Linked DNA regions of Ovis aries. The protein of the gene in region 5 binds, or shares a complex with, the protein of the main gene of each other region. Links are inferred from orthologs where the notes say so. Each region holds a gene or a part of one and is shown on either strand. Other genes may lie near its edges. The genes, in order: E3 SUMO-protein ligase RanBP2, NUP214, NUP160, CETN3 and NUP153.

Evidence for each region.
Region 1: NUP153 (region 5) and E3 SUMO-protein ligase RanBP2 share a complex: the UniProt entries of both Homo sapiens proteins name them as parts of the nuclear pore complex. The link is inferred for Ovis aries from reciprocal best matches to the Homo sapiens genes NUP153 and RANBP2.
Region 2: NUP153 (region 5) and NUP214 share a complex: the UniProt entries of both Homo sapiens proteins name them as parts of the nuclear pore complex. The link is inferred for Ovis aries from reciprocal best matches to the Homo sapiens genes NUP153 and NUP214.
Region 3: NUP153 (region 5) and NUP160 share a complex: the UniProt entries of both Homo sapiens proteins name them as parts of the nuclear pore complex. The link is inferred for Ovis aries from reciprocal best matches to the Homo sapiens genes NUP153 and NUP160.
Region 4: NUP153 (region 5) and CETN3 share a complex: the UniProt entries of both Homo sapiens proteins name them as parts of the nuclear pore complex. The link is inferred for Ovis aries from reciprocal best matches to the Homo sapiens genes NUP153 and CETN3.

Annotation. Positions count from the first base shown.
Region 1 is NC_056056.1:62,034,695-62,041,145, reverse strand, and holds the start of E3 SUMO-protein ligase RanBP2, read right to left. Parts: upstream 3,750-6,451; 5' UTR 3,737-3,749; coding exon 3,431-3,736; intron 1-3,430. UniProt on the Homo sapiens protein: E3 SUMO-protein ligase which facilitates SUMO1 and SUMO2 conjugation by UBE2I. Involved in transport factor (Ran-GTP, karyopherin)-mediated protein import via the F-G repeat-containing domain which acts as a docking site for substrates.
Region 2 is NC_056056.1:5,536,019-5,541,975, forward strand, and holds part of NUP214 (nuclear pore complex protein Nup214), read right to left. Parts: intron 4,176-5,957; coding exon 4,088-4,175; intron 1,963-4,087; coding exon 1,901-1,962; intron 1-1,900. UniProt on the Homo sapiens protein: Part of the nuclear pore complex. Has a critical role in nucleocytoplasmic transport.
Region 3 is NC_056068.1:76,462,363-76,468,319, forward strand, and holds part of NUP160 (nuclear pore complex protein Nup160), read right to left. Parts: intron 4,813-5,957; coding exon 4,679-4,812; intron 3,811-4,678; coding exon 3,740-3,810; intron 2,872-3,739; coding exon 2,712-2,871; intron 2,083-2,711; coding exon 2,013-2,082; intron 1,429-2,012; coding exon 1,330-1,428; intron 612-1,329; coding exon 492-611; intron 23-491; coding exon 1-22. UniProt on the Homo sapiens protein: Functions as a component of the nuclear pore complex (NPC). Involved in poly(A)+ RNA transport.
Region 4 is NC_056058.1:87,599,090-87,605,600, forward strand, and holds the start of CETN3 (centrin-3), read right to left. Parts: upstream 3,543-6,511; 5' UTR 3,416-3,542; coding exon 3,399-3,415; intron 1,420-3,398; coding exon 1,284-1,419; intron 1-1,283. UniProt on the Homo sapiens protein: Plays a fundamental role in microtubule-organizing center structure and function. As a component of the TREX-2 complex, involved in the export of mRNAs to the cytoplasm through the nuclear pores.
Region 5 is NC_056073.1:39,069,746-39,075,702, reverse strand, and holds part of NUP153 (nuclear pore complex protein Nup153), read right to left. Parts: intron 2,271-5,957; coding exon 1,998-2,270; intron 1-1,997. UniProt on the Homo sapiens protein: Component of the nuclear pore complex (NPC), a complex required for the trafficking across the nuclear envelope. Functions as a scaffolding element in the nuclear phase of the NPC essential for normal nucleocytoplasmic transport of proteins and mRNAs.

The DNA.
Region 1 (6,451 bases), on a different chromosome or scaffold from region 5:
AAAAATACAACAGAAGAAACAAAGAAGACAGAAAAATGTGGATGGCCAAACCCGAACCAACTTTTCAGTCAATAAGAACACCAGAAAGATAATAGGAAAAAAAGAGGGAGAGAGGAAAGAAAAAAATGCTCAATGAAATACAAGATGTTCCAGAAGCGAAGGAAGTAAGTTTGTCAACTGAAAGAAAACTTCCAGAAAACCTATAGGCTATCAAGAATAAGAACCACATATAACCTCCAACAGCACACTGCAAATATGCAGCAATGCTCTCAAAATGAAGAAAAAAATTATTTCAAACCTAGATTTGACAACCCAATGAAACATTAGGTAAAGACATTTTTTGTCAGTAGAAAGGGTTTAAAATGGAGAAAAGTAGATCAACAAAGCAAGGATTAGGGGCATTGACCCTCTGCACAGTTGAAAATCTATGGATACTTAACAGTCGTCCCCCTGTACACACACACACTCTCCCTCCAGAACCCTGGGTCCTCCATATATATCCAAGCTTCCACATCTTCATATTCAGCCAACTGTGGATCCCATAGCACTGCTCTATGTATTCATTGAAAAAAAAACACAAAAAAACCCTTCATGTAAGTGGATCTGTGCTGTTCGACGAGCAACTGTAATATGTACATTACTCAGAAGTATGACATACAGATGTTTAAGGTAGAACAAATAACTAAGAGCTGTGAAGCTGCCTCTGAGAAGCAGGAAATCAGGGGCGTGGAGTAAAAACCTAGATATAAAACTAAGAAACTAAGATATAAAACTAGATATAAAACTAAGAAAAACTAAACAGAAGCCATCAGGGGAAAAAAAAAAGGAAATCATATTTTCAGTAAAAGCAAAAGCAGGTATTGGTTGTGTGTGCTCAGTCTCGTTCAACTCTTTGAGACCCCATGGACCGTAGCCCGCCAGGTTCCTCTGTCCATGGAACTTTCCAGGCAGTAATACTGGAGTGGGCTGCCATCTACTCTTCCAGAGGATCTTCCAGACTCAGGGATGGAACCTGCACCTCCTGCATTGGCAGGCAGATTCTTTACCAACTGCACCACTTGCAAAGTCCTAACAAAATCAAAAGCAGGTGTAAAGGACTAGAAAATGGCAAAACAAAAGAAGTCAAGAGATGAGTGGAAGCCTGGGAAGATATATGACTATGGACCCATCACAGCACTTAGTCCAACATTGCCAGTGTCTGCCCAACTGGGTACCAAGTACAGACACCCTAATCTTTTTATACTCTTCACAGCCACTGTCTCTGCTCCCTCTACCATCTCCCTCCCAACCTGGCCAAAGCACCATGTTCACTTACACCCACGATTATAGTATTGTCATGTGTTCCGAAGTTTTTGTTTATTTTGTTTCAGTTGCTAAGTTATGTCCGACTCTTTGGACCCCATGGGCTCTAGCCCACCAGGCTTCTCTGTCCATGGGGTTTCCCAGGAAATACTGGAATGGGTAGTCATTTCCTTCTTCATGGGATCTTCCCAACACAGGGATCAAGCCCAAGTCTCCTGTATTGGCAGGTGGATTCTTTACCACTGACCTACCTGGGAAGCCAGGAAGACCTAATATACTCTTACCAAAGTCTAATTTAAAAGTTTCACAGTTCATTTCTTGAGGTTAATCAGGATCCTGAGGGCAAGGGACCTTCCTACTCTGAACACCCATCCCCGATTCCTGGAGATCCACCCCAGGACCTCCTGAGAAGCAAGCCTTTATCAACTCTGCACCTGAGGCCTCCCTCAGTGTCCTATTTTAGTCTGTGTGCTTAATCTTTCAGTCGTGTCCAACACTTGTGAGCCCAGAGACTGTAGCCTGCCAGGCTCCTCTGTCCATGGGATTCTCCAGGCAAGAATACCCGAGTGGGTTGCCATTTCCTTCTCCAGGGGATCCTCTCGACAAAGGAATCAAACCCCAGTCTCCCGCACTGCAGGCAGATTCTACCAAGTTACAAGGGAAGCCCCATGAATCAACTGAAACCAAATAAAAACTTTGCTATTTTAGCACCAGATTTTAAACAGCTGAATCTGGGGATTCTCTTTACTCTCTGCTTCTCTAGAGGTCCACCTAGGACCTTGTCCTGCAGTGTCTCTCCAGGACACTGACTATCAAAGTTTTCTCCTGATGTTCATTAGCAATCCTTTAGCTTATGCAACAACTGTGACTCCAATCATAGCAGAAGCGCTTCTCCTGCAGGAAGTGGAATCGGTCCCCCATTGGCTGTCCCCTAACCCTCTCCTCCTGCCACCTGAAGCCTTTCTTCCTGGTCTATGTCCTTGAGATCCAGGTATCAGGCTGCTAAATATCAGGTAAAGTCCAACTATAGCTAGTTAAAGGATGTTAACTCCTTGAATTATTATTTTAAACATTTCTATTATGATTAAAGCACCTCTTTTAGGTCTTTATCTGGGACCCAAAGTTATCTACTGCACTTGCTAATCAATATCCCACTGAAGTCCCCAGGTTCAAAAGTCAATGATTTCTCCTTGTCTGAAGAAAAACATCTGATTATAATAACTCTTTATAAATGTAAAAGAGGTGACAATAATAACCAATCCTTAAAGTTTTGTGCCCACTCTTCTTTATTGATGGAAAAGTTCCCTAGTTCAAAGAACATTCTAATTCCTGTCTAGACAGTGGTTTTTAAGGCTTTGGAGAGCCAGGGTGCCCACTAAAAATTTCTTAAAAGCGCTTAACTTGCTTTAGAAGAAAAAAACAAAAAACAAAAAACGGCCACATCAGTTTCAGGGACAGAGAGAATGATTAATGAGCTCCTGTTTTTGACTCTGGTAGGTACATTCGTATTCACAGCTATGCCAGCAGCTGGAAGTTACAACCTGAAGGTTGGCACCTATTCCCCTCCTCCAGAGCCATAGGCTGTAACCCACTCCATACTCCTGAAAAAAAGAAATCACACCCACTGCCAAAATCCTGCTGGGTTACCATGTGCCCCCGGAAAAGTATCTTGAATTCCCCAGGGATACGGATGTCGGGAGCACAAAGTAAAATAATATATGCCTAGTATGTGGTAACCAAGACACTATTACGGTGCCGTTACAATCCTGACTGTTCGCTGGTTTTAATTTCCTCATACATCTTTATTCGCATAGGCTCCGGCCCAGAACACCTGGAATGACTGTCCCTGTAACAGCCACATCTACTGAGAGCTTACCACGTGCCAAGCACTGCCCTAAATGTTTATCATAGCCCATCCTAAAAACTCCTATCGATACCCTAACTCCCAACCTATTAATGAAATAAGCGGCAGTTGTCTCGAATCCCACAGCGCGTGCTTGGCGGAGCTGCGACTCGGCCCTGGGCAGCGAATCCGGGTCCGGGCCCCCTCCGCCCACCCTCTGGCATCAAGGTCCGCGGGATCCCCTGGGCACCCAGCTCCCAAACTACGCCGGAGATGGCAGAGTACCCCGAGAGACGTCGCCGGAAAGCCACAGAGTCTACTCCAAAAACAAGGCCCGGACGGAAACTCAGAACCCCCGGAACTCCGTTGAAAAACAAAATGCCCGGAAAGCAGCTTCCAAAGCGGTGAGTGAGAGGCGGCGGGGCGGCTGCGCCTCGGCGTGGAGCCCAGGACGCCCGAGCGCCGGGAACGAAGAGCAGGAAACGAAAGAGGAAGAAGAGAAACAGAGAGAGCCAACGCCCGCCCGCCGCCTCCCCGTCTCCCGCCCGCCGCCCGCCGCCGGCCGCCCGGCCGCGCCTCAGCGGGGGACATGGCGCCGCCGCCGTGGGCCCGCCCGGAGGCCATGGCCCCGGCCCGCTCACCTCCCGGGGTGACGGGGCAGAGCCCTGCACCGAAGCGATGTATCGCTCCACGTCGGCCTTGCTGCGCCTCATCTTGCCGCCGACTGGGCTCTGGATAACGAACGCCAGCGCCGAGGCCGCAGCGGCCGCCGTCGTCTCGGGAGCGCGCCGCCCGAAGGTCCGTGACGCAGCGCCGTCGCCGGAGAGAGGGCGACGCGCCTGCGTGGGTGCGTGCATGCGTGAGAGCTGCGTCAATCCTGTGCGCCGCGCAGACCCGCGGACGCCGGCGCGCAGAGGTGAACGCGCTTGCGCAGCGCGGGAACGCGAAGCTCGTGGGGTGTGTGACGCGGTTGAAAGTGCTTAAAGATGACACCTGCCGGTAGCAGCTTCGTCCGGAAATATCTCTCCCTCAGGCTCTCGAGCCGGACGCGCTGTTCCCGGTGCTGACGTCACGCCGCGGCGCCAGTCGGCTATATCTAAGCGCTCTTTTGGAATTTGAATTTTTCGGACGTAGTTTTAAGACAAGTTGTAGAAAATGTTTTCAGTAGTGAAAAGATCACATCCTGTGTATACAGGGAGTTCAGGATTTATGGTTATGGATACTTTTTATCCTTTTAAAATAGTTTTATTCAACACTTAGAGCTAATCTGGCCTCTTACAGGCTATCCTTTTTGATTTTTCCATTTTTCCAAATTTTCTACAGTGAGCAATTATTTTCTTTATAAAGAGGGAAACCATCATGGTGTGTTTTGTTTCAGGTTTGTTGGATGTGAATAAGGGTGGCTGGTCTGGGAGGGTACTTGGTCCAGACCCCAGCTAATGTTAACTAATCTAAGGGATGGTGAGGAGCGAGTCCCTCTGCTGGTTTCCTTGGTAAATAATGAGTCAACAGGAGGTCTGCTGCAGCTGCTAAGTCGCTTCACTCCTTTCCGACTCTGTGCGACCCCATAGACAGCAGCTCACCAGGCTCCCCCGTCCCTGGGATTCTCCAGGCAAGAACACTGGAGTGGGTTGCCATTTCCTTATCAAATGCGTGAAAGTGAAGTCGCTCTGTCATGTCCGACTCTTAGCGACCCCATGGACTGTGGCCCACCAGGCTCCTCCATCCATGGGATTTTCCAGGCAAGAGTACTGGAGTGGGGTGCCATTGCCTTCTCTAACAGGAGGTCAAGTCCTCTCTAATTGGTAGTATCCCTTTCCCCAAGGGAGTGAGCCTGCCCCTATGTCCTGCTACACACCTGGGGATGTTGCTCCAAGACCTCGCTTCAGGTGGGTAAGTTCCCCTCGCTTCAGTTCAGTTCAGTCACTCAGTCATGTCCGACTCTTTGTGACCCCATGAATCGCCACACACCAGGCCTCCCTGTCCATCACCATCTACCGCAGTTCACTAAAACTCAAGTCCATCCAGTCGGTGATGCCATCCCGCCATCTCATCCTCTGTCATCCCCTTTTCCTCCTGCCCCCAACCCCTCCCAGCATCAGAGTTTTTTTCCAATGAGTCAACTCTTCGCATGAGGTGGCCAAAGTACTGGAGTTTCAGCTTTAGCATCATTCCTTCCAAAGAACACCCAGGGCTGATCTTGCAGTCCAAGGGACTCTCAAGAGTCTTCTCCAACACCACAGTTCAAAAGCATCAATTCTTCGGTGCTCAACTTTCTTCACAGTCCAACTCTCACATCCATACGTGACCACTGGAAAAACCATAGCCTTGACTAGATGGACCTTTGTTGGCAAAGTAATGTCTCTGCTTTTGAATATGCTATCCAGGTTGGTCTTAACTTTCCTTCCAAGAAGTGTCTTAATTTCATGGCTGCAATCACCATCTGCAGTGATTTTGGAGCCCAAAAAAATCAAGTCTGACATTGTTTCCACTGTTTCCCCATCTATTTGCCGTGAAGTGATGGGACTGGATGCCATGATCTTCGATTTCTGAATGTTGAGCTTTAAGCCAACTTTTTCACTCTCCTCTTTCACTTTCATCAAGAGGCTTTTTAGTTCCTCTTCACTCTCTGCCATAAGGGTGGTGTCATCTGCATATCTGAGGTTGACATTTCTCCCAGTAATGTTGATTCCAGCTTGTGCTTCTTCCTGTTGCTTACTCTGGGCTTTTAGTCTTGAACCTGGGCAAGGCCTGTGGCCTGCAGCTCAACATCACATGTACTGACTTATTCTCCCAACAACTTAATGAAAGTACTGTTATTTGTTCTTATGCCCAGGTGGACAGATAGGAAACGGAGGGTGTGAACAGTAAAGCAACCTTGCCAAGCATACCTTGGCAAGCACATAAAATTACTGCCTTAATCTGTTTTAGTTGAATATACTGAAAAGGAGTAAGTGAAAGAGGAAGAGCACAGAGGAACTTGAGATGAAGAAACCCTTGATTTTGATCAGCAATGGATACCTTTGCTCTATGCTAGGTGCCTGTCAGTTCAATTAATTCAGAAGTTGAGGACTCAAGATTAATCAGGTAAAACTGGCTGATAAAAAAGTCATAAGCCAGGATGAGAAACTTTAAACATAGAGTTCTATGTGTCACTCTTGGCTTTCTCTCTCCCTCCCTAATGAGCAGTTTGCATTACACATTAACTGGACCCCCTCAAAGATGGGAGTGCCTGCTCCAAAGTAGAGGGCTTTTCTTTTAACTTTCTTGTGCGCTAGCAACATAACTTCTTAAAAGAATAGTGCT
Region 2 (5,957 bases), on a different chromosome or scaffold from region 5:
CTGGTATCTGCAGATAACTTCCAGAAACCCCTCTTTGTATCACTGAAGTTGTACTGAGTTGCTTGTGATTCTGGATTGCTGTCTGTTCGAGTATTAATGAAAATGGTTATGGAATTTCTGTTGTGTTTTATTCCTAATGTATTTCATTTAGGATTTCTGACAATTATTTTGTTCTTGCCAATCTTTTTATACCATTGAGCTGTTTTTCTTTTAGAAAGTGAGACTCGGGAGAGGAGTGGGCCTCAAGTGGTCCACATCTAAGTGGACAGAACCGTTTAGGAATCACTGCTCCAGACAGAAAAGACAGAATGAAATCAACAACCTTTTAAGTGCCGCACACAGACTGGGTTTAAGATGCCTGGTATGCTTTCAGCTCCCGAATATCCCTCTAGCAGATTTTAAGAGATCCCTTTTTTACCAAAAAATGTTCATCACTTGGGCTGACACACAGAAAAGCACTCGTAAAAGTACATGCTGAAGGAAAAGTTGAAAGATGGTCATTGTCTTATTTATTATAGGAAAACCTGGAAAAAGCCTGAACCGTTCAAGAGGGGGATGGTTAAATAAATTAGGGCACATCTGCATGACAAATTATGTAGCCACTAAAAATGACATTTAAACAAGACTCTCACTAATACTGGAAAACTCACAAGGATTGTGTTAAATGAAAAGGTAGAAGCAAAAAATCCCAAAAGGAAATAGAACTGAATGGTTAAGGGTACAATGTGTAATTCTAGAACATATTACTTTAATAAAAAATATAAACACTTTTATAATAAAAGCTTTCTTTTTAAAACAGAAGTAAACTCAATTACTTTGAACTGAGAACTTGAAGGCACTTAAAAAATACATCTGGTTTCTGATAGGTCCTCAAAGTCTTTTAAACATTAAAAACATGCTGGTAGATGTTGGTCTGAGCGTCCCAGCTGGCTCAGTGATAAAGAATTTGCCTGCAATGCAAGAGACTCAGGTTCAATCCCTGGGTTGGGAAAATCCCCAAGAAAAGGAAATGGCAATCAACTCCCAGACAACCCCATGGACAGCAGGAGTCTGGCGGGCTACAGTCCATGGGGCTGCAAAAGAGCCAGGCCTGACTCAGTGACTAAACAACAACAGACGCTGGCAGATCTGCACCAGCGTGCGCGGGACAAGTGTGTCTCCCGATAGGTTATCAAGGAAAGAAACACGAGTTTAGTCTTTCCTTTCTACAGTACTGCGTGTGTGTTCAATCACTCAGGCCTGTCGGACTCCGTGGACTGCAGCCCACCAGGCTCTGTCAATGGAATTTCCCAGGCAAGAATACTGGAGTGGGTTGCCATTTCCTCCTCCAAGGGATCTTCCCAACCCAAGGATTGAACCAGCATCTCTTGCGTTTCCTGCCTTGGCAGGTGGATTCTTTACCATTGCCTATCTCAACCTACAAATTGATACAATTTTGACTTCATTTAAAAAATTTTTTTAAAACAAAACAAACAAAAAAAATTTTTTTAAATTATGAAAGTATGATAACACTCTACAGGAAACTGGGAAAATACAGAACAAAGTTACATATAGTTTCACTACATATTATGATTATTAAAAATTGATATAATTTTAAATACCATATGACAAAGATGGAGAAAGAAATTTTAATTTGCGTGTAAACATTCACATTTAAAGCACAGCCTTGCCTTTCTAAAAGCAAACCCTTTCTGAGTTTTTAACTATGAAGACAAAAGTCATTCCCCACAGTTTCTTAAATCCAGCCTATTTCTAATGCATAATATCAACACCAAGTTCACTGCAGATACTTTAAGCAAAATGCAGCAGCAAGTAAAATGTCAACCAACCTGCCTCCCTCAAACCTGCACTTGTTTAGAGGGAAACACGAAAGTGAGGCGACTCAATGCAGAGACTGTACCTTGTGTGGCAGTGAAGTTAGAAGACGGTGTTGGTGTGACTATCCCAAAATTAAAGCCAGTCCTAGGGGTGGAAGAAAAGAAGTTAAAAACGAACAGACTTAAGGCGCAACACTGCCCTTTAACAGTACATTTATAATCCATTCACATAATCTACTCTCAGGGACTTGCAATCTATCGATAAACATCAGCAAGCGCATTGCCTCTGAAGCAGCAGCGCAGAGCTCTCAGAGCGTGGGGGGGAGCGATGTGTGGGTGAGGTGAGAGGGAAGCAGCCAGTGAGGAGGCCTTGGAGGAACAGCCAGGCTTCCCATGGTAGAGGGGGTGGGGACCTATTTCAAGGAAAGTGAAGGAGCACTAGGACTGTGCCTTGGGATGGTGGCTGGAGCGGTTGGCTCGCCTAGTGAGGCGGACGGGATGGGCTAGGTGAGGAGGAGCCTATGACCCACCCAGGGAGCACGTCAGGACAGCGCATGCCACTGGGGGAGACAACAGACAGTATGAAATGGAAGCCACTGTCTTTGCTGTTCGGACAAAACGCTTAGTCCTCGGCTGGGAAATTTGGTTCAGAAACTTTAAAAAAAAAATTTTGGTTGCACCAAGTGGCTTGTGGGATCTCACTTCTCTGACCAGGCACTGCACACAGCCCACAGAAATGAAAGCGCTGTAGCTGTACCCTAACCACTAGGCCACCAGGAAAAGTCCCTCAAAAACCTATCTGATTCTTTTCATCCTCTCCTCTCTTTCTGTACATTTTCTTCACCCTGTGAGTGAAGACAATATAAGCAAAGAAGAAAACTCAGCACCAGCTGAGCCAGAATGGAGTACTCATTCTGAGAAAAGTTCAAATAGCAAATTAAAAACTGTTGGATTGGTCAAAAAGTTCATTTAGGCATTTCTGTAAGATGTTATGGAAAACCCCAAACGAACTTTTTGGGCAACCTGATAAAAAGCCGAGCATATCAAAAAGAGTAAGTAACAGTAAAGAGTAGAGTTGGGTTTTTTTTTAAACTCGTCACTGGCTTCATCAAATGGTCCAAGACCACCTAAGATGTGTTAAATATTTTATCATCTTAAAAAAAAGAAAACAAATCTCTTTCTTTGTCTCAACTCTGGTGAAGAAATTTGATGTAACAGAGGTAAGCAGCTGACCTATGACCCAAACCTCTGTAGGTTATTTTAAAGACGGGAAGAAGAGTATCAGGTTCACAGAAGTAAAGATTAATTAACAGATGCGGTAGCTCCTGGAACTGACCTACTCTCTAAAACTGTGCTCCAAACTACCTTTGGGGAGTAGAAAACTAATGATTTACAGGAAAATATATATGATTTCCCCCTTAAAATTCTATTCTAACACCCTCCTTTCTCGTAATGTGTTAGGCTGAAGGGTGTTCAAGAAACAAACTCACAGCAGGGAAAAGAGACTGTGGTCAGTGTGATTCCAGTTACAAAAGCATAAACTGGAAGAGCTTAAGAGACTTTTCTAGTGGAACTGAATGTGCAACCCTTCACAGTGAAAACAATCTTTGGATGAGTATTTATCTCAGCCACACAGAGACTAACTCCACCCCAAAGAAGAGAGATGCTCTGCCAACTCTCACAGGTTTCATGATGAGTGTTCGCAGGATAGTGAAAAGGTATGCCCCCTCCAACGTTAATAAGAACTTCCTTTGGACTGAGGGTTAGAAGACCCTTTTGTTTTTAAAAATAACTCAATTTGACAAGTACAGACATCATCACTTTAAAAAAAATGAAACAGAAATGGACTTCCCCACATCTATATAAAACCCCAATTCTTAAATGGCCACTGTCTTGATTGCTCAGCAGTCTAGTATAATGTGACCTCTCGGGGCAGCGAAGCCAATCCAAGGTCTCACCCAGCCGCCAGATGGTGTCAGAATGAAAAGATCTCGGTGTGATAAACTAGAGCAACCACAGACCCACTACCCAAACAAGGCTTATCCTAAACAACAAAACAAACAAGCCAGTAAGAACACACATATAAAACTGAATCGAAAAGGGCAAACAGATTTACATTAGGACACTAAGCTACTCCCACTATCATTAAATGTGTCACTGTGGAGATAAGAACTCTGGCTTCATATAAGTATACCCGCTGACTATAAGATTTGGAGAAGCAATCTATAAGGATTTTGTGATCTGCCACAAAACTTAAGTTTACAACTGACCCTGATGAAAATGAGAAAGGCTTGCTGAACTGCCCAACAGTAGACGGGGTAGAAGTCACAGCTGTTTCTATCTTGGTTGCCACTGGTCCTGGAATTATGGGAAAAAAAGAAGAGCATTACAAAAAAACCAACACCATTTTAGTTTAATTCTCTGTGGCACTGAATGCTTAGTGCCACGCAAAGCGCAGCCCCAGGTCACGTGCTTCCTGTAGGTCAGCAGTCAAGGGGAGAGTGAGGACTCGGTCGTGCTCAAGGTCTCTGAATGGGCTCTCTGGCCCTGTCAACTGTCAATTTCAAACCAAGGCATGCCACTTTACCCTTTCCAGGAAAGACATCAAAGTAACTGGAGTGCAGGTCAAATTTAAGGCTTTAAAAGTAGATTCTGCAATTAATGAAATGTGATACATGTCAAAGGAAAAGAAACTCCAAGGGGAAACAGGTCATGTGAAACATCTCTGAGTAGTGACTTCACGGCTGCTGGCTTTCTCGCCGCATCTGTTTTTCCAGAGACTTCTTGTATTACTATTAGTTAATAACAGGTCTGCTTCTTTATTTTTTATTACAGAGGTAACACGACTGCTGTCACACAGAGAAGAGTGGAGAGTTAAAGTGTAGCCCGTCGTCTCCCCACATGTGGTGTACTGTGGCTGCTCACTAACAGGCTGGGGCAGTACCCACACTCTCCCCCCCACCTCTCCCTCTCCTTCTAAAAGGAGAAGAGGGCTGGGGGAATTACACTCGAGAAGCCCAAATCAAACCAACCCAAACAATAAGAAAAAGCATCTTCTGTTTACATGAGTATGGAGTAAAGATTTGCAAAACTATCTAAAACACTACTATAATACAACGTGATGCGGACAAGGATGTCTAGTGCAGCCTTACTTATAATTCTGAAAAGTTAAGAACAATCTGAACTATCAGCAGAGTATTGGTAAAAACTGAACAGGGTACAACTGTACAGCGAAGGGATTAAAATGAGACAGGCAGACTTATACCAGACCTGAAAAGATGAACATGATATTTTCCTGGGGGAAGGGAGGAGAGGGGACAGATTACAGATCAGTATATACAGGATATGGCTATCTTTGTTTAAAGAAACCAACAGATATACATCAAACCCCAAGACACATCAATTCTTTGAGGGCTATTATCTCTGGAATAGGGAACTTACAAATTTTCTACATTATACAGTTCCACACGGTAGACTTTTTGTGGTCCTGTAAATGGCAACCCACTCCACTGTTCTTGCCTGCAGAATCCCAGGGACGGGGGAGCCTGGTGGGCTGCCGTCTATGGGGTCGCACAGAGTCGGACACGACTGAAGCGACTTAGCAGTAGCAGCAGCAACAGCTTTAAAATCAGGAAAACAATGAAGGTGTTTCCATTATTAATTAATAAGGGAATTATTCTATAGAGGTTTCAGAGATGACTTTTTGTTTTTGTTAGAAGTTTTTGCAAACTCTTAAATAGTGTTTTTCAGGGAAATTTTCCTGCTAAAAAAAGTCTGTTTCTGGCAAATAGAAACAGAAGGACATCTAGCAATGAGAGTGAATATTTCACAATCATCATTGAATGATGAATCTTAGAAATTTCTTTCCAAGTCATGCTAACTGCCCCTGAGATGTTCTTGACTCTTAATTTCAAGAGTGACAAAAAACTCTCCAATAAAATCCTTGAAAGAGGTTAGGATATATAATCTTTCAAACTTTCTTCTAAAATATTAGCCAGAAATGGAAACAAACTTCTTAATTTGAATCCTAAATGATTCAAAAGTCTTTGACAACTGCACTAAAATTTCCCTTCTGAGTTAAAGTTTTAGCTCCTAGTCGAGAAGCGCTACATACTGCCTTCTCATGGAAGGCTTATATGA
Region 3 (5,957 bases), on a different chromosome or scaffold from region 5:
CGACATCCAGCAGACGCAAGACCTAGGGAGAAATATGAGGGCACTTCAGGTTGGATACAATTCACTTTATTTCATGTTTCAGCTTCCCCGGCGAGCCAGTGCCTAAGACTCCACCCGCCAACGCAGAAGACAGACTCGATCCCTGGCCCAGGAAGACCCCACATGCAGCTAAGCCACTGAGGCACAACCACAGCCCGCGCCCCTGCAGCCTGCGCGCTGCTACAAGAGGAGCCGCTGCGGTGGGAAGCCCGAGCACCGCAAGCACAGGGGCCCCTGCTCGACGCAGCTGGAGCGCCCTCGAGCAGCTAGAGACCCGGCGGGGTCGGAACTGCAAGACGCTGAGTGCAGCTCCTCGTGCTGCAGAGTAGGTCCTCGTCTACCTAGTTTATATATCAAGTGTATATGCTAACCCCACACTCATTTATCTGCCTCCCTGCCCCTGTTACATGTTTACCCAGTGTGGTGTAAGAAGGACCAAACCATGCCAGAACCTTGTCATAATATTGCAGCCGGGGGGTGGACACAATCTCTCCATCCTCTGAACGGATCAAGCGATCTAAGAATTCCTCTTTGCCCACTTCGGATGCTGCCTGGCAGAAACATTCCAGAGCCTGAAGGAATAGAAGGATACAAAATGACTTATAATAGATTGTTCCACTTCCAGATAATATGAGCCAAGAGTTCTTATACCGAGAAAAGCCGAAAAAAAGAAAGAAAATTATTTAAGTAAGTAAATGACTGCATTTACTGTTTGTTGTATCTAAATTCTCTGATGCATTATTTAATATTTTAATTTATCTAACTTTTTAATTTAATGTTGCTAATTACAAAGTAAACTTTAAGAGGATATTTGATGGATACCAGTGATATAGCAACTATAGCACCATGTTAATTTTTGTAGAATCTGAGTGGGGGATTTAGTATGAAAGTCTTTGGACTTTTATGTCTGAAAGTTTACATAACAGGATGTCAGGGAAAAAAATTAGAAATGTAAACTACCATAATGGGAAAAAAAAAACCAGCATAAAAAAACATGCTATAAAAACAATGTATCTGAGAAATATTTTCGTCACAAAAATGTATCCCTATAAGCACTGCACAGGGGCAGGAGGGTTTTAAAGTATTCTTCTTCATATTTTCCTGTGTCCTAAACAATCTGTAAAGTACATGAAGCTAAATGGTCCCCACGGGTAGATCATGCCCCTTGCTGGCACTGTTAGTCTTCTTTACCCTTATCTGGAGGATTCTAGGCCTCCAATCCCCTCCCTGAGATGGAAACTGAGTGTCCTCCTTGCTCTAAAGTCTGCTCATCTTTCAGATGCAGTTTACCTTCTGTCCCTCTCCCGTAACCAGGTAACATCGTCCCAGCATAAATCGGCAGGAACCAACGTTGACTTGACACCAGGGATGCAGCAACTGAATATAATCCTTAAAGGCAAAAAGGTGGTTTCTGATTAGAAGATAAATGTCCCTTAAGGAGATATTCATTTCCATGTTCTTCAGAGGGAGAGAAGATAGTGGTCATTCAACACAAAAGCTGTATTTCCAGAAAGCATCTGGAGGTTAAAAGCAAACCCTGTTAATCCATTCTTAAATTATTAATAAGTTCTTAGACACGCTAAGAAAGCAAACTGGACTCTAATAACACTATCACACGAAAACAAACACACTTTCCATCTTGGCAATCTTCCAACTTTTGGTATTTACTGGCTCAACTGACTAGATTCCAGTGAAGGATTTATATGAAGACAATGATACGTTTTCTTTCTATAAAGAGATCCCAATAGAGAGAATTAACAAAAAAGTACTTCATAAAACACTGTGTTAGGAATGATACTGCCAAGAATGAAGTAAAGAAAATCTCTCTGGTGTATGTTTCCATGTAATCCAGTGTAAATTAATGTGGGTCTTATCAGCCCAATTAAAATTCAAGAAACATTTACAAAGAAAAAAGTTCCAGAAATCCCCTTCTTTACAAAAATAACTGTCCTGAAATGTTCAACGGTACTCACCTGCAATTGTACATACTGACAATTTCCCATCAAACATTCTAGAAAGAGACAACCAGGATTGCTAGGCCATCTAGTCATTGGTTAAGGCAACTGTTTACTGTTTTGGTAAAGCTTAAATATACACACTGAGCACCCAAACTCCATGAAATGGCTTAATTTTTAAAAAGAAGGTAAATAGAAGGTGGTACAACACATGTTCTTCCTACACAACTATGTAGCTTTAATATTAAACACAGTGGAAAGGTTATACACTAGGAGCCTGGCCACCTGCATTAGAATGCAACCAGCTAAGAACTAAGGCATGTATCTCACCTCTTGGTGCTCACTTCTGATTTTAGCTAGGATATTGCCCAAGCATACTAGGCCAATGGATACTCAGTACCTAACACAGGGCTTGGCATACAAAGCCATTCAATAAATATTTGATAAATGTATGCTTTAAAAGCAACCTAGGTATTAACTGTATGTGCACCAATAAAATGTGGCTCAACCCCTGAGCAAAAAAAAAATTAAAAAAAAAAAAAAAAAAAAAAGGGATACCTGAAAATAACTATCATTTCTCGTTGGGATGGGGAGGGGGAGGGTGGTAAACATCCAACCTCATTAAAATTTTTCATTACACAGGCAGAATATTCCTGAATCTTAGACTATCTGGATAGAAAAAAACCCCTCTCAATTAGCTTTTAAATGAAAGGATACAAGAGCTGCAATAAATAATTGGTAACTGCAGTGATCATCTCTGGCCAGTTCAATCCAGTTTGGCTTAGAGGCGCCTTTGGTTGAGAGAACAGATGAGATATAATGTGTTTTCTTGCAACTTCTTGGAAGAATAATTCCACAATTGTCTGAGGGCTAGATACTTAAAAATAAAAAGTTTTAACAGTCACCAATTTGTGACAGTAGTATCAATTTTCAATTAAGACAGCCTACCAATTCATTTTACGCCTGTCACAAAGAACATTATTTAAAAACGTAAAACGCATCACTGGTATAATCAATGGCAATATAAATAAAAGCAATCTGTAAACTATGAAGTACTATACAAATACAATAAAAGAGCCACTAAATTAACATGACAGTCACGCCATTCCTCTCAAAGTGTTTCCAATAAACATAGTCCTAAGAGTCTAAATTTTATACCAAAACACAGAATAAACTCTCCAGAATGGTTCTCAAGCATGAGAGAGGACTCCTTTTGAATATCTGCTGATGGAGACAAGATTACAAAAGCTATACGAACTTAGTAAATTAAAAAAATGATTAACCACTGGGGGTACACACACACACACCACACACACACACACACACACCCACACCCACACACACAGCTTCCCAGGTGGCTCAGTGGTAGAGAATCTGCCTGCCAATACCAGAGAGATGGATTCAGTCCTTGGGTTGGGAAGATCCCCTGGAGAAGGGAATGACAACCTACCCTAATATTCTTGCCTGGGAAATCCCATGGACAGAGGAGCCTGGGGGGTCACAGAGAGTTGGACATGATTGGGGACACACGTGTGCATATATACAGGCAACACTCTTCATTTCTGTCTGATCTGATACTACTTGTCACAACCAGAGAGGTCTCAGGACACAGCTTGCTCACACCCTCTCAAACTGAAAGCACAGCCGAGGCACCTTTGCTAAAGCAAGGCGGCAAAAGACCACCTTAATGGACACTCAATAAATGCCAAACTTAAAATCAAATGCACACACAGTCCAATCCTTACCAAACTTATTTGTCGTTAAAGCACCAGAGTCAGTTAGTTCCAGTACTGATAAATGTTGAAGATTAGACTCCCTGTGAGGAAAGGGGGAAAAACCAAAAAAGCTCAATAAATTTTCCTATGCTAACATTACTTCAACCAGTTAGCTGATTAAAACGCTGTCAGTTTCACTAATAAACTGCACATGACTGCGCCACTGAGAGCACAGAAGTGTCTGGAAAGTGAGCTGTGGCTTAGATTATTTCCCATCATGTCACCCCGCGATCCTTCACGAAGCCAGGGCAAAAATTGCTTAGGCCTCCATGCCATGAAAAGACTTCCCTGTCCTTTTAAGCAAAGTGGCTTATCTAACTGAAGTGTCAGTCTGTTAGGCACACGTTAAATTTTCTTTCTTACTTTGGTTATAAAGAATCTCAGTCTACTCTTGATAATTAGCATATTTTCGTACGTGGCCTAACTTTCTCTGTGACCTCAACTTAAAAAAAAATTATTTATTTTTAACTGAAGGATAATTGCTTTACAATATTGTGCTGGCTTCTGCCACAGGTCAACATGAATCAACCACAGGCACAGAAATGTCCCCTCCCTCCCGGTTCTCCCTCCATCCCACCCTCCCAGGTTGTCACAGAGCACCAGGTTGAGCTCCGAGTCATACAGCAAAGTGACCTCATCTTCTTCTTTCGCTTTCCACAGGATTTGTCTCTACATTATCCATACACACATATAATAATAATACATATTTATTGCTTTCATTCTTCTTGTATCATTTTCATTCTTATAACTTGCCTCTAACCTTTAGATAATGGAGCTATCTGAAAGCTCTGAGCGTCACAGGCATATCCTGCTGCAGCACAATATTCAATTTGCTTTTCTATTAGACAGTGGAAAAGAATCATCAAGCTCACAATTTATTTCTAAAATAATCAGAACACGGAAACTCACAAGGTGTCAACTGGAACATCAGTTGCCAAGCACTGACTTCCCCACTTAATGAGGTAATAAGATAAGAGCAGGGGAGCTGTTCGATGCAGTAGGTCTTGCTGGGCTTGAAAGAGCTGGCCAGCTCCCAAGATTACCTGTATGTCATGGGTGGGTGGGTGAGACAGGAAATAGTATTTAGTAAGGATAACCCTTAGGTTCAGGTGGCGGTGAAATAACACAGTTACAAAGGGCATACGTAAAAGCGACACACCCATTGCGTTTGGGGTAGCAGGCAGCAAAAGGATCTACCCACTTATCAGCGCAAAATAACAAAAACAGCTCACCAGGCCACAGGAGCTGATGGCGAAAAAGAAAACGGTAACAGACTGCTTAACTTTCACCAAGAAGAGGAACAGGGAAATCTAAGACATTTCTTAATCTTCTTGTTTTGGGTAAAATAAATACGAGCATTAGAGGAAAGCTTGACAAGAATATCAGTAGCCTTAAAAACGTGTGTCGCTTTGGGACTTCCCTATTGGTCTGGTGGTTAAGACTCCACGCTTCTACTTTAGGGGCATGGGTTCAATCCCTGGTCAGGGAACAGACCCCAAAGGTACCGGCTATGACTGGATGCAGCCAAATAAATAAATATTAAAATACAATACAAACTCAAAAAACAAAACCACAAAGGGAATTCCATGGTGGTGCAGTGGCTGGGACTTGGGCTTTCACTGCCAAAGCCTGGGTTCAGTCCCTGATCAAGCAACTAAGATCCCATGAGCTGTGAGGCAAAGAGACAGACAACTTTCAGGAAAGGGTCCTGCTTCTCCTTGGTGGTCCTAAACCAATCATCTTCCAGAATGTTTTCTCCTTATCTTTTACCAGAAATTCTGCCATTAGCCATGTACTTGAGTTAATGAATTCTGATTTAAAAAGTATAAACATCCCCGGGAGCTCCAAAGGGCTTTCAGTTTATTTATATATCAATATGAATTAGTTTAATCAGATAGCTTCCTTGTCAGGCTCAGATGAGTGTTTGGAAGGAATGATGCTAAAGCTGAAACTCCAGTACTTTGGCCGCCTCATGCGAAGAGTTGACTCACTGGAAAAGACTTTGATGCTGGGAGGGATTGGGGGCAGGAGAAGAAGGGGACGACAGAGGATGAGATGGCTGGATGGCATCACTGACTCGATGAACGCGAGTCTGAGTGAACTCCGGGAGTCGGTGATGGACAGGGAGGCTTGGCGTGCTGCGATTCATGGGGTCGCAAAGAGTCAGACATGACTGAGTGACTGAACT
Region 4 (6,511 bases), on a different chromosome or scaffold from region 5:
TCTATCTAGTGTACAATGACGAGCCACTAAGTATTTATGAGCAATGAATAACATGAAAGAATTTTAGAAAGATGAATCTAATGACAGTGTACAGGAAATGGAGAAACCAAGTTCCAGATATAAAAAATCACAAACCAAGATAATAAGAATGGCCACAAACAGAAGAGACATTATAAAGGAAGTGAAGTGAAGTCAAAGTTGCTCAGACCCGTCTGACTCTTTTCAATCCCATGGACTATAGAGTCCATGGCATTCTCTAGGCCAGAATACTGGAATGAGTAGCCTTTCCCTTCTCCAGGGGATATTCCCAACACAGGGATCGAACGCAGGTCTCCAGCATTGCAGGCAGATTCTTTACCAGCTGAGCCACAAAGGAAGCCCATAATAAAGGAAGAGCTGATCAAAGCTAGGTAACTAAACCAGAGGGAAAGTAAGCTAAAGAGCCACAAGGATGCTACCTCACTCATTGTGCTGAGTTTAAGATCCAAACTATCTTAAACACCAATTTCCCCTTGATTATTTATAAAAAATTCTAAAACTTAAAACTGATATTTTTCCCCATTAGCACTGCATCAACATCAGACACCACTTATATCATCTGAATAAGAGAAAATAGGTTGAGACTGTTACTAACATGTTTAAATTAGAAAACAAATAACACTGCCTCAATCTGAGAAATGAATGAGTCATAAAAAAACAAAAAAAAAACATACAATAGGAAGAGGAATATGGTTAGACTGTTTAAATCCTTCAGTTTCAAATATTTTAATTATGTGAATGAAAAATAAGCCCCTCTATAGGAATATATTTTTACATTTAAAATATTATTCATTTTACCATGTGAAAAGGAGTTTCTAAAAAGATACAAGTACTACTCAACTTTTGGAGAAGGCAATGGCACCCCACTCCAGTACTCTTGCCTGGAAAATCCCATGGATGGAGGAGCCTGGTGAGCTACAGTTCATGGGGTCGCTAAGAGTCGGACACAACTGAGCAACTTCACTTTCACTTTTCACTTTCATGCATTAGAGAAGGAAATGACAACCCACTCCAGTGTTCTTGCCTGGAGAATCCCAGGGATGGGGCAGCCTGGTGGGCTGCTGTCTATGGGGTCACACAGAGTCGGACACGACTGAAGTGACTCAGCTTAGCTTAACAGTAAATGTTTAAAATGGTTTACATTTCCAAAACCAGTTCAATTAAAATATTTAGAAATGCATTTTTAATCAGTGGACAAAAATGCAAAATGTTTTAATAGAAAAGATATATTTTAAGTGTATTACCTTTAATTCATGATAATCTATTGCTTCATCTTTGTCTGTGTCAAATAGTTCAAAAGCATCTTTAATTTCTTGTTTCTGTTCTTCAGAGAGTTCTCTTCTTTTTTTCCTCTTTGTTTTGTCTACTACAAGGTCATTTCTATGGAATGATAAGAAAAAAGTCTATTTAGTCCACTTTAATCCTATTGTCATATGCTTCTAAATGATAAAATTCCAAAAATGCAACAAAAAAATTAGCCAATGAATGTTTTAAACTTCTAAAAAGTATTTTATAAAAAATTTCCTTACATGAATCAAAGCCCTGCTCAATCCATTGTCTAAGCTGCTTTAAATTTGTACCTCCCTAAAACTGAAAAGTTTTACAGTTTTAAAAGGTTATTAAAAGAAATGAGGACCTAGCTTTTCCTCTTCCTAGCTTTGTATTCATTCCCACTAATATTACTGTGGAAGAAACAAGAACTGTGAAAAAGAAACAGTTCTGTCAGAAACCCCAACAAAAAACAAACACCCATACTTATTCTCATCATTCTACAATACAGACTGTTTTAAAAAATAAGAATTCAATTCACAATTGTTGATCTCTATATATTAGGTTTACTTTCATAGTGCTTAGAATTATCAAAATTATTGCCAAAAAATCTAATTCATCAATTAATTTACAAACTATTTTGGCACAGTTTAGACTAGTATTTTTAGACTACACATTTTAAACTGGCACTTTTTTGTAATTTCTCCCATTGATATTAACAAATCAGCCAAAATAATGAACGTAAGCATACCACGAATATCAAACACCAAAAAAGTACTTAATATTTGTGGTATTTTATTTATATATAAGGTGAAGAGTCAACTGTCTCATAAATCTCAGCATGTACATCTAGACAGTTTGTCACAAACTCTGAAAAAACTTAAAGTACAAAACGTAATTTACTCTAAAAACTAGAAATGTATTCCTTAAGAGGTGCCAATATAAGCATTTCAAATTTTCATATGGGGCTTACAACACTTGTACAAGCTTTGAAACAAGAATTCTATAAACTTTAAAAATGTAAAAACCAGTTGACTTTTCTTTAATTCTGTGAAATCTACTCTAAAAAGGCAAGAGATGACTAGAAAATGACCAAATGAGGTTATGATAAAGCTCTTTCTTTCACAAGAGACCTGAATTCACAAAAACTTGGAAACTCCGGGGGTTATTCTCTTCCCAAGATTCCGACCAGACCAAAGTTCACAACCCACCGACAGTAGACCTCATTTCCTCGTCAGAACTCGCTTCCTTTTTACTGAAGCGTAACTACATAAACACTTTTAAGGTAAAACTTTTAGTTGTGGTTGGGAGAGGGAGCAACAAACAGTGGGTTAGAGGTTGGAAATGAATGAAAAGTAAAATCAGAAAATTTAGGAAAGCTAAGAGATTACCAACTAAAATCACTAAAAGGGGCCTCTGATTATACCCTTTTGCAGGGCCCCAGGAGAAAGAGGAGAGGTTTTGCGTTGTTTCCAAAATTTACGGGTAAATATGTTAGTAGGGGGCTTCCCAGGTGGCTCAGTGGGTAAAGAATATACCTGCAATGCAGGAGACGCAGGTTTGCAAGATCACCTGGAGGAAGGCAGGGCAATCCTCTCCAGTACTCTTGCCTGGAGAAACCCACACCCAGAGGAGCCTGGCGGGCTACAGCCCATAGGGTCACAAAGAGTCTGACACGACTGAAACGACTGAGCACGCATGTTAGCAGAAAGTCGGCCGAGATGGAAGCCGTGGACAAGGCACTGAACCAAGGGATGCTCCAAGGCCTGGTTTCCCGGTTTCTCGCATAAACACCGCGCATTGAAACCTCGCGATATTTCCCTGCCTCCTCAAGACTACCTCAGCCCGGCTTTTTGGCGGTCTAAAGCCAGTGCCCTGACAGAAATGACCGCCTCAGCTAAAGTGCAGAGCTCACCAGGGCCCCCAAGGGGAGGGGTCTGGGCCCGGGAACGTTGACCAAGGATCCCGTCCCTCGTCCCAAACTGCATTCCCTTCCTCGCTTCGGCCCCCAGCTGTTTCCCTTCCACACACAACCGCCCTGGGGCCCGCTGCGAGGTGTGGAGTGCATCTGCCGTCTCCTCATTACCGACCTCAGAGCTAAACTCATTTTCTCTTCGGACTGAGGCGTTCCTCTCGAGAACGATTTTAACCCCCTACCCAGAGCAGCAAGACTTCCACAAGCCGTTCGACAGACGCCAACGACCCTCAGCGGTCTCAAAAACCTCCCACAAAGCAAGACACTCCTGAGCTGGATTGGTTGAAATCGCTAACGTCCTGCCCATTGAGGCGAAAGCGTCACTTGTCCTCTGCTCTCATTGGTCTTATTTCACGTCAATCAAATAGATCTCCCTGCCGGCATCCCCTGCTACGCCTCTCCCCCTGTAGATTGGCCTGTTGCTTTCCGCCCCACCCCCACGCCCCACCCCAATCCTAGAGAAGCTAGGACTCAGGTGGGAGGTGGCGAGCTATGCTTCTGACCAGAAAGGCTGTGGCATGTGGCCCAGTGTCCGGAGACCCGGTGGAAAGGGAAGGGATGAGATACGCCGCAGGCTCTCCTCCGGCTAGAAGGAGGGAGCGGCTTTCGAACTGTGTCTGCGAAACTTGACTCTACTGTATTGTACATTTTTGGATGGTTTGAGTACATGGGGAGTGTGTTTAAAACGCAGATTTAAATATCACTCATTCTAATTTCTAGTAGGTGTGAATCTGCATTTTTTTATACAAACTTCAAATGATTCTGAAGCAGATACTGCGGATTATATTTTGATAATCACTGAGTTGGATTATTAGGCTATTTAAGGTTGAAGCTGTACCTAAGGGCCATTTGCTCCCCTATTCCTCCTTTGAACTGGTTTGTTCGTTTTTGTCCTTTATTTTCGAGTGCTGTAAGCTGCTTATACTCATGATGTTATCTTCACCACCAAACGAAGTCTCTTAAAGCTCACTTGGACATTTAATATCTTTACTGTTCATCTCTCCTACTAATCTTAAAAGGCTTATATCCTTCATTTAACACTATTCCTAGTGCCTAAAACAATGTATGATTCGTTGTAAATGTCTGATGCCTCTGCTCCGTAGATATTTGTTGCATTAAATGGAATCTTGCTGTGAAAAATCGCAAAGTACTGAGCTAAACTGCAAATCTCAAAAAGGAATGAAATAGCCAGAGAGTAGGTGTCCAGTAACAGAAGAGGGAAGATATTGATATATAAAACTGTGGCATAAATATAAAGAGATACATGTACACGTTTAGAGAAGAGAGAGAACACAGAAGGTATAAGAAAGACTTCTTGAAGGAGATGGCATATATGTTAAGCCTAGAAGGATGAGCTAAATTTGGGTAAGTAAAGATGGTAAAAACATCCACTTCCACTTTATTGACTATGCCAAAGCCTTTGACTTTCAGATCACAACAAACTGTAGAAAATTCTGAAAGAGATGGAAATACCAGACCACCTAACCTGCCTCCTGAGAAATCTGTATGCAGGTCAAGAAGCAACAGACTGGTACCAAATCAGGAAAGGAGTACGTCAAGGCTGTATATTGTCACCTGACTTATTTAACTTATATGCAGAGTACATCATGAGAAACACTGGTCTGGATGAAATACAAGCTGGAATCAAGATTGCCAGAAGACATATCAATAACCTCAGATACAATGATGACACAACCCTTATGGCAGGAAGTGAAGAGGAACTAAAAAGCCTCGGATGAAAGTGAAAGAAGAGAGTGAAAAAGTTGGCTTAAAGCTCAGCATTCAGAAAACTATGATCATGGCATCTAGTCCCATCACTTTGTGGCAAATAGATGGGGAAACAATGGAAACAGTGGCTGACTTTATTTTACTGGGCTCCAAAATCACTGCAGATGGTGACTGCAGCTATGAAATTAAAAGACACTTGCTCCTTGGAAGGAAAGTTATGACCAACCTAGACAGCCTATTAAGAAGCAGAGACATTACTTTGTCAACAAACGTCTGTCTAGTCAAGGCTATGGTTTTTCCAGTAGTCATGAATGGATGTGAGAGTTGGACTATAAAGAAAGCTGAGAGCCGAAGAATTGGTGCTTTTGAACTGTGGTGTTGGAGAAGACTCTTGAGAGTCCCTTGGACAGCAAGCAGATCCAACCAGTCCATCCTAAAGGAGATCAGTCCTGAATATTCATTGCAAGGACTGATACTGAAGCTGAAACTCCAATACTTTGGCCACCTGATGTGAAGAACTGACTCGTTTGAAAAGACCCTGATGCTGGGAAAGATTGAAGGCAGGAGGAGAAAGGGATGACAGAGGATGAGATGGTTGGATGGCATCACCGACTCAATGGACATGAGTTTGAGTAAACTCCAGGAGCTGGTGATGGACAGGAAGGCCTGGTGTGCTGCAGTCCATGAGGTCGCAAAGAATCAGACACGACTGAGTGACTGAACTGAACTAAACTGAAAGATGGTATAATAGCTCAGACAGTAAAGCATCCACCTATAATGCAGGAGACCTGAGTTGGATCCCTTGGTGGGGAATATCCCCTGGAGTAGGAAATGGCAACCCACTCCAGTATTCTTGCCTGGAGATTTCCATGGACAGAGGAGCCTGGCAGGTCACAGTCCATGAGTGTTGCAAAAAGTCAGAGATGGTATAATGAAGTAAAGCTAAGAATTATAGCTACAGGATAGCCCCCCAAAAAATAACAGAACTAAAAACTCTAAATTTTAGAGTATAAATCACCTTTGAGTCTAAAAGGACAGTAAAACTGCAATTACACACTAGACAGTAATGACAATGGAAAACTATATTAAAATGGTAAGATACAGACCAAACTATAGAACAAGGTTATTTTACTATTAAATAAGAATAAAAGTAAACCAACATTAATCTGAATATTTTAGAAATGAACAAAGTTAACTAATTGAAATTAGGAAGAAGAAATTACTAAAGATAAAACAACAAGAAAAGAAAATAGGTTTTTAGAAGAAAATTGTGAAAGTAATTGATAAATAGTCTCATAATCTAATAATAAATTGGTTTTTGGCAATAGCAATAAAATGGACAGAATTAGGGAATTGTAACAAGAAAGGGAATATTGCCACTAATAAAGTTGACAGTTTAAAAGAGTTTCAAAAATTATTAAAATACTTTATACAACTTCATTCTGCCAATAAATATTAACACTAAAATGAAATAGTCACTTTTCAGGGAAAAAAAAATAA
Region 5 (5,957 bases):
GTGCAGCCACTAATTATTGCAAAACAGTACGGCAGTTTCTCAAAAAACTAAAAATAGAGCTAGCATATGACCCAGCAATTTCACTCCTAAGTACGTATCTGGAAAAAAAAAAAAAAAAAAAAACCCCAAAATATTAATCCCAAACAATACACGCATCCCAATCAATGTTTATAGCAAGATTAAGGAAACAACTCAAGTGTCCATCAACAAATGAATGAATAAAGAAGATGCAGTGTGTATGCTTTGGAGAAGGACGTGGCAACCCGCTCCAGTGCTCTTGCCTGGAGAATCCCAGGGATGGAGGAGCCTGGCGGGCTGCCGTCTATGGGGTCGCACAGAGTCTGACATGACTGATGCGACTTAGCAGCGGCAGCAGTGTGTGTGCTTTTGCGTGGCCTGGTAGTCATCCCAGCATACACACAAAAAGAATGAAATTTTGCTACTTAAAACAACACGTAGAGGCTTGAAAGGAGTATGCAAAGTGAACTAAGTTAGAGAAAGACAAATATTGTATGAAATCATTTATCTGAGGAATCCAAACAATGTAACAAGCTATTGAATATAACAAAAAGGCAACACACTCAGACGCACAGGAAGAACTTCTGGTTGTTAGTGGTGAGCAGAAAGGGGGAAGAGGCAAGACAGGGGAGAAGTTAAGGGGTACAAACTATTCTGTATAATGTAAGCTACAAGGATATATTATACAACATGGGGAACGTGGCCAATATTTTACAGTAACTATAAATAGAGTATATAACCTTTAAAAATTGTGGATCACTATGTCGTACACTTAAATAATACTGGTCATCAACGAGATCAATACAAAAGCAAAAATAAAAGCCAATAAAAAAACTTAAAAAAATTATGTGGTAAAATTTCAGATACTGAGAAATAGCCAAAGTACTTGAAAAAACAAAGTAGTTATATACAAATGGGAGAAGCAAATATTAACCATGAGAAGAAATCACTAAGGCTAGGAAAAACAAAATGTTGTCTAGGAAAGAAAAATCACAGTATATCATACAATGTTTGCATATTTAACATAGTGATCTAACCACACAGTATCACTCTATTAGAACTGAAGGCATTCCTAGCTGTGTGAAAGAGAGCTAAAGTCTTCAATTTTGTATTGAGGGGTTGGGAATCATTAAATTCTGATTAAAATGATTATCATGTGTCACAGAACAGAAGAAATTTTGCTACATGTACTAGCTAACAAAATACTAACATTCAAAATACATAAAGAATTTCTACAAATCAATAAGCAGAGCAAAATAACCAATTAGTATTAGGGACCCAAAAAATTACAGAAAGAATTCACAAAAAATGAAATCAAGTAGCATCCAAATATGAGGATCTTCATTTAATGCTGGAACGATGTGAACTGGCACAATCCATCAGAAAGAGTGCGTATAATCTTGTGATGTACTAAGATGCACGCAGAGCTGCATGTTCTGACAGCTAAGAACAACTCAAACTTTCATCAACAGGATACGGATGGTCCAGTGGTTAAGAATCCACCTGCCAATGCAGGGGACACGATCCCCGGTCCGGGAAGATACCATGCGCCATGGAGCAACTAAGCCCGCACTCCAGAGCCTGTGCTCCACAGCGCGAGAAGCGACTGCAGTGAGGAGGCCGAGCCCTGCAGAGGAGCCTCTGATCACTGCAACTAGAGAAAGCCTGAGCGCAGCACCGAAGATGCAGCACAGCCAAACATACATAAATACATACATATGTAATAAACAAATCATTTATTTAAAACCTGCACCTGCCTTGTTAAAAAACAAAACAAAACAGAGTGCTTAACTGTGTTGGGAAGAGAGTTGGGAATGCTGTTTATAGGTAAATCTAAACATACACGTCTCTATTCTGCCAAGTACAAGAGATCGAAGAAAAGAGATGTGCATGGTTTCAAAACTCAAAGAAAAAAAACTGTACTGAAGACATACAAAACTCAAGTAGGGATACAAACTACACCATTACTGCATACTTACTGGAATTAGGAGCTGTTCCAGAGCCAAATGCAGACTGACTAGGCTGCTGCCCAAACACAGGAGGCTGTCCACTGCTTGACACTGTCCCAAAAGTAGGTGGTGCAGGCTGAGAACCAGCAGAAAATAATGCCCCTGAAGATGGTATAGATCCAAAACCTGGGGGGTTAGGCTGGCTGGCACCTTGACTTTGTCCAAATGTTGGGGTCTGGTTAGCACCAAACGCTGGACTGGCAGATGGTGCTGAAGCTCCAGTGCCAAACACAAAGGAGGATCCTAGAGACCCAGAGACACACTTAAATCACCACGGATGGTTAAACAGATAATCCTCAATTGTCTGTAAACTGAAATGCACATATCAAGATTGTTTGCAGACTCTTACCTTGCTGAACAGACCTTATCAGGACAAGTTTTGAATAACTGATGAAGAAAATACAATGCTTGCTACCATTATTTAGTAAAATCATACAGAATCCATAAAAACTGCAATTAACAAGATTCCTATCTTGCAGCCAAAAATGTTCAGGTCTTTAAATATCTAAGAAGACAACTGATCTCCTATCGGAAAGGCAACATAGTGCAGATACTGACTATTATGTGATCATGTATCCACTGCATAAAGAGGACTAACGTCTAATAAAATAATCTTCAGTGTCTGGTTATTTACACTAAAAAACACTTGAACAAACTAAAGACACTCTTAATGAGATGAGAAAATTGCTTCCAAGAGTTCCTTTCAGTTCAGTTGCTCAGTCGTGTCCAACTCTTTGTGACCCCATGAACTGCAGCACACCAGGCCTCCCTGTCCATCACCAACTCCTGGAGTTCACGCAAACTCATGAACATCGAGTCAGTGATGCCATCCAGCCATCTCATCCTCTGTCATCCCCTTCTCCTCCTGCCCCCAATCCCTCCCAGCATCAGGGTCTTTTCCAATGAGTTAACTCTTCACATGAGATGGCCAAAGTATTGGAATTTCAGCTTCAAAATCAGTCCTTCCAGCGAACACCCAGGACTGATCTCCTTTAGGATGGACTGGCTGGACCTTCTTGCAGTACAAGGGACTCTCAAGAGTCTTCTCCAGCGCCACAGTTCAAAAGCATCAATTCTTCGGTACTCAGCTTTCGTCACAGGCCAACTCTCACATCCATACATGAACACTGGAAAACCCATAGCCTTGACTAGACAGACCTTTGTTGGCAAAGTAATATCTCTGCTTTTGAATATGCTATCTAGGTTGGTCATAACTTTCCTTCCAAGGAGTAAGCATCTTTTAATTTCATGGCTGCAATCACCATCTGCAGTGATTTTGGAGCCCCCCCAAAATAAAATCTGACACTATTTTCACTGTTTCCCCATCTATTTCCCATGAAGTGATGGGACCAGATGCCATGACTTCATTTTCTGAATGATGAGCTTTAAGCCACCTTTTTCACTCTCCTCTTTCACTTTCAGCAAGAGGCTCTTTAGTTCCTCTTCTCTTTCTGCCATAAGGGTGGTGTCATCTGTATATCTGAGGTTATTGATATTTCTCCCGGCAATCTTGATTCCAGCTTGTGCTTCTTCCAGCCCAGTGTTTCTCATGATGTACTCTGCATGTAAGTTAAATAAGCAGGGTGACAATATACAGCCTTGATGTACTCCTTTTCCTATATGGAACCAGTCTGTTGCTCCATGTCCAGTTCTAACTGTTGCTTCCTGACCTGCATACAGGTTTCTCAATAGGGAGGTCAGGTGGTCTGGTGTTCCCATCTCTTTCAGGATTTTCCTCAGTTTATTGTGATCCACAAAATCAAAGGCTTTGGCATCGTCAATAAAGCAGAAATAGATGTTTTCTGGAACTCTTGTTTTTTTGATGATCCAGTGGATGTTGGCAATTTGATCTCTGGTTCCTCTGCCTTTTCTAAAACCAACTTGAACATCTGGAAGTTCATGGTTCACGTATTGCTGAAGGCTGGCTTGGAGAATTTTGAGCATTACTTTACTAGCGTGTGAGATGAGTGCAACTGTGCAGTAGTTTGAGCATTCTTTGGCATTGCCTTTCTTTGGAATTGGAATGACAACTGACCTTTTCCAGTCCTGTGGCCACTGCTGAGTTTTCCAAATTTGCTGGCATATTGAGTGTAGCACTTTCATAGCATCATCTTTCAGGATTTGAAATAGCTCAACTGGAATTCCATCACCTCCTCTAGCTTTGTTTGTAGTGATGCTTTCTAAGGCCCACTTTCACATTACAGATGTGTGGCTCTAGGTGAGTGATCACACCATCATGATCACTGGGTTGTGAAGCTCTTTTTTGTAGTTCTCCTGTGTATTCTTGCCACCTCTTCTTAATATCTTCTGCTTCTGTTAAGTCCATACCATTTCTGTCCTTTATTGAGCACATTCTTGTCCTTTATCCAGGCAAGAATACTGGAGTGGGTTGCCATTTCCTTCTGCAGGGGATCTTTGCATGGAATGTTCCCTTGGTATCTCTAATTTTCTTGAAGAGATCTCTAGTCTTTCCCATTCTGTCATTTTCCTCCATTTCTTTACATTGATCGCTGAGGAAGGCTTTCTTATGTCTCCTTGGTCTTCTTTGGAACTCTGCATTCAGATACTTATATCTTTTCTTTTCTCCTTTGCTTTTTGCTTCTCTTCTATTCACAGCTATTTTTAAGACCTCCTCAGACAGGCATTTGCTTTTTTGCATTTCTTTTCCATGAAGTGAAGTGAAGTCGCTCAGTTGTGTCTGACTCTTTGTGACCCCATGGACTGTAGCCCACCAGGCTCCTCCGTCCATGGGATTTTCCAGGCAAGAATACTGGAGTGGGTTGCCATTTCCTTCTGCAGGGATCTTCCCGACCCAGGAATCGAACCCAGGTCTCCCACATTGCAGGCAGACGCTTTAACCTCTGAGCCACCAGGGAAGCCCCTCTTTTTCATGGGGATGGTCTTGATCCCTGTCTCCTGTACAATGTCACAAACCTCCGTCCATAGTTCATCAGGTACTCTATCAGATCTAGTCCCTTATATCTATTTCTCACTTCCACTGTATACTCATAGGGGATTTGATTTAGGTCATACCTGAATGGTCTAGTGGTTTTCCCCATTTTCTTCAATTTCAAGTCTGAATTTGGTAATAAGGAGTTCATGATCTGAGCCAGTCACTCCCAGCCTTGTTTTTGCTGACTGTATGGAGCTTCTCCATCTCTGGCTGCAGAGAATATAATCAATCTGATTTCAGTGTTGACCATCTGGTGATGTCCATGTGCAGAGTCTTCTGTTGTGTTGTTGGAAGAGGGTGTTTGCTATGACCAGTGCATTTTCTTAGCAAAACTCTTAGTCTTTGCCCTGCTTCATTCTGTACTCCAAGGCCAAATTTGCCTCTTATTCCAGTGTTTCTTGACTTCCTACTTTTGCATTCCAGTCCCCTAGAATGAAAAGGACATCTTTTTGGGGTGTTAGTTCTAAAAGGTCTTGTAGATTTTCATAGAACCGTTCAACTTCAGCTTCTTCAGCATTACTGCTTGGAGCATAGGCTTGGATCACCATTATATTGAATGGTTTGCCTAGGAAACGAACAAAGATCATTCTGTTGTTTTTGAGACTGCATCCAAGTACTGCATTTCGGACTCTTTGGTTGACCATGATGGCTACTCCATTTCTTCTAAGGGATTCCTGCCCACAGTAGTAGATATAATGGTCATCTGAGTTAAATTCACCCATTCCAGTCCATTTTAGTTTGCTGATTCCTAGAATGTTGACATTCACTCTTGCCATCTCCTGTGTGACCACTTCCAATTTGCCTTGATTCATGAACCTGACATTCCAGGTTCCTATGCAATATTGCTCTTTACAGCATCAGATATTGCTTCTGTCACCAGTCACATCCACAACTGGGTGTTGTTTTTGCTTTGGCTCCATCCCTTCATTCTTTCTGGAGTTATTTCTCCATTGATCTCCAGCAGCATATTTGGGCAC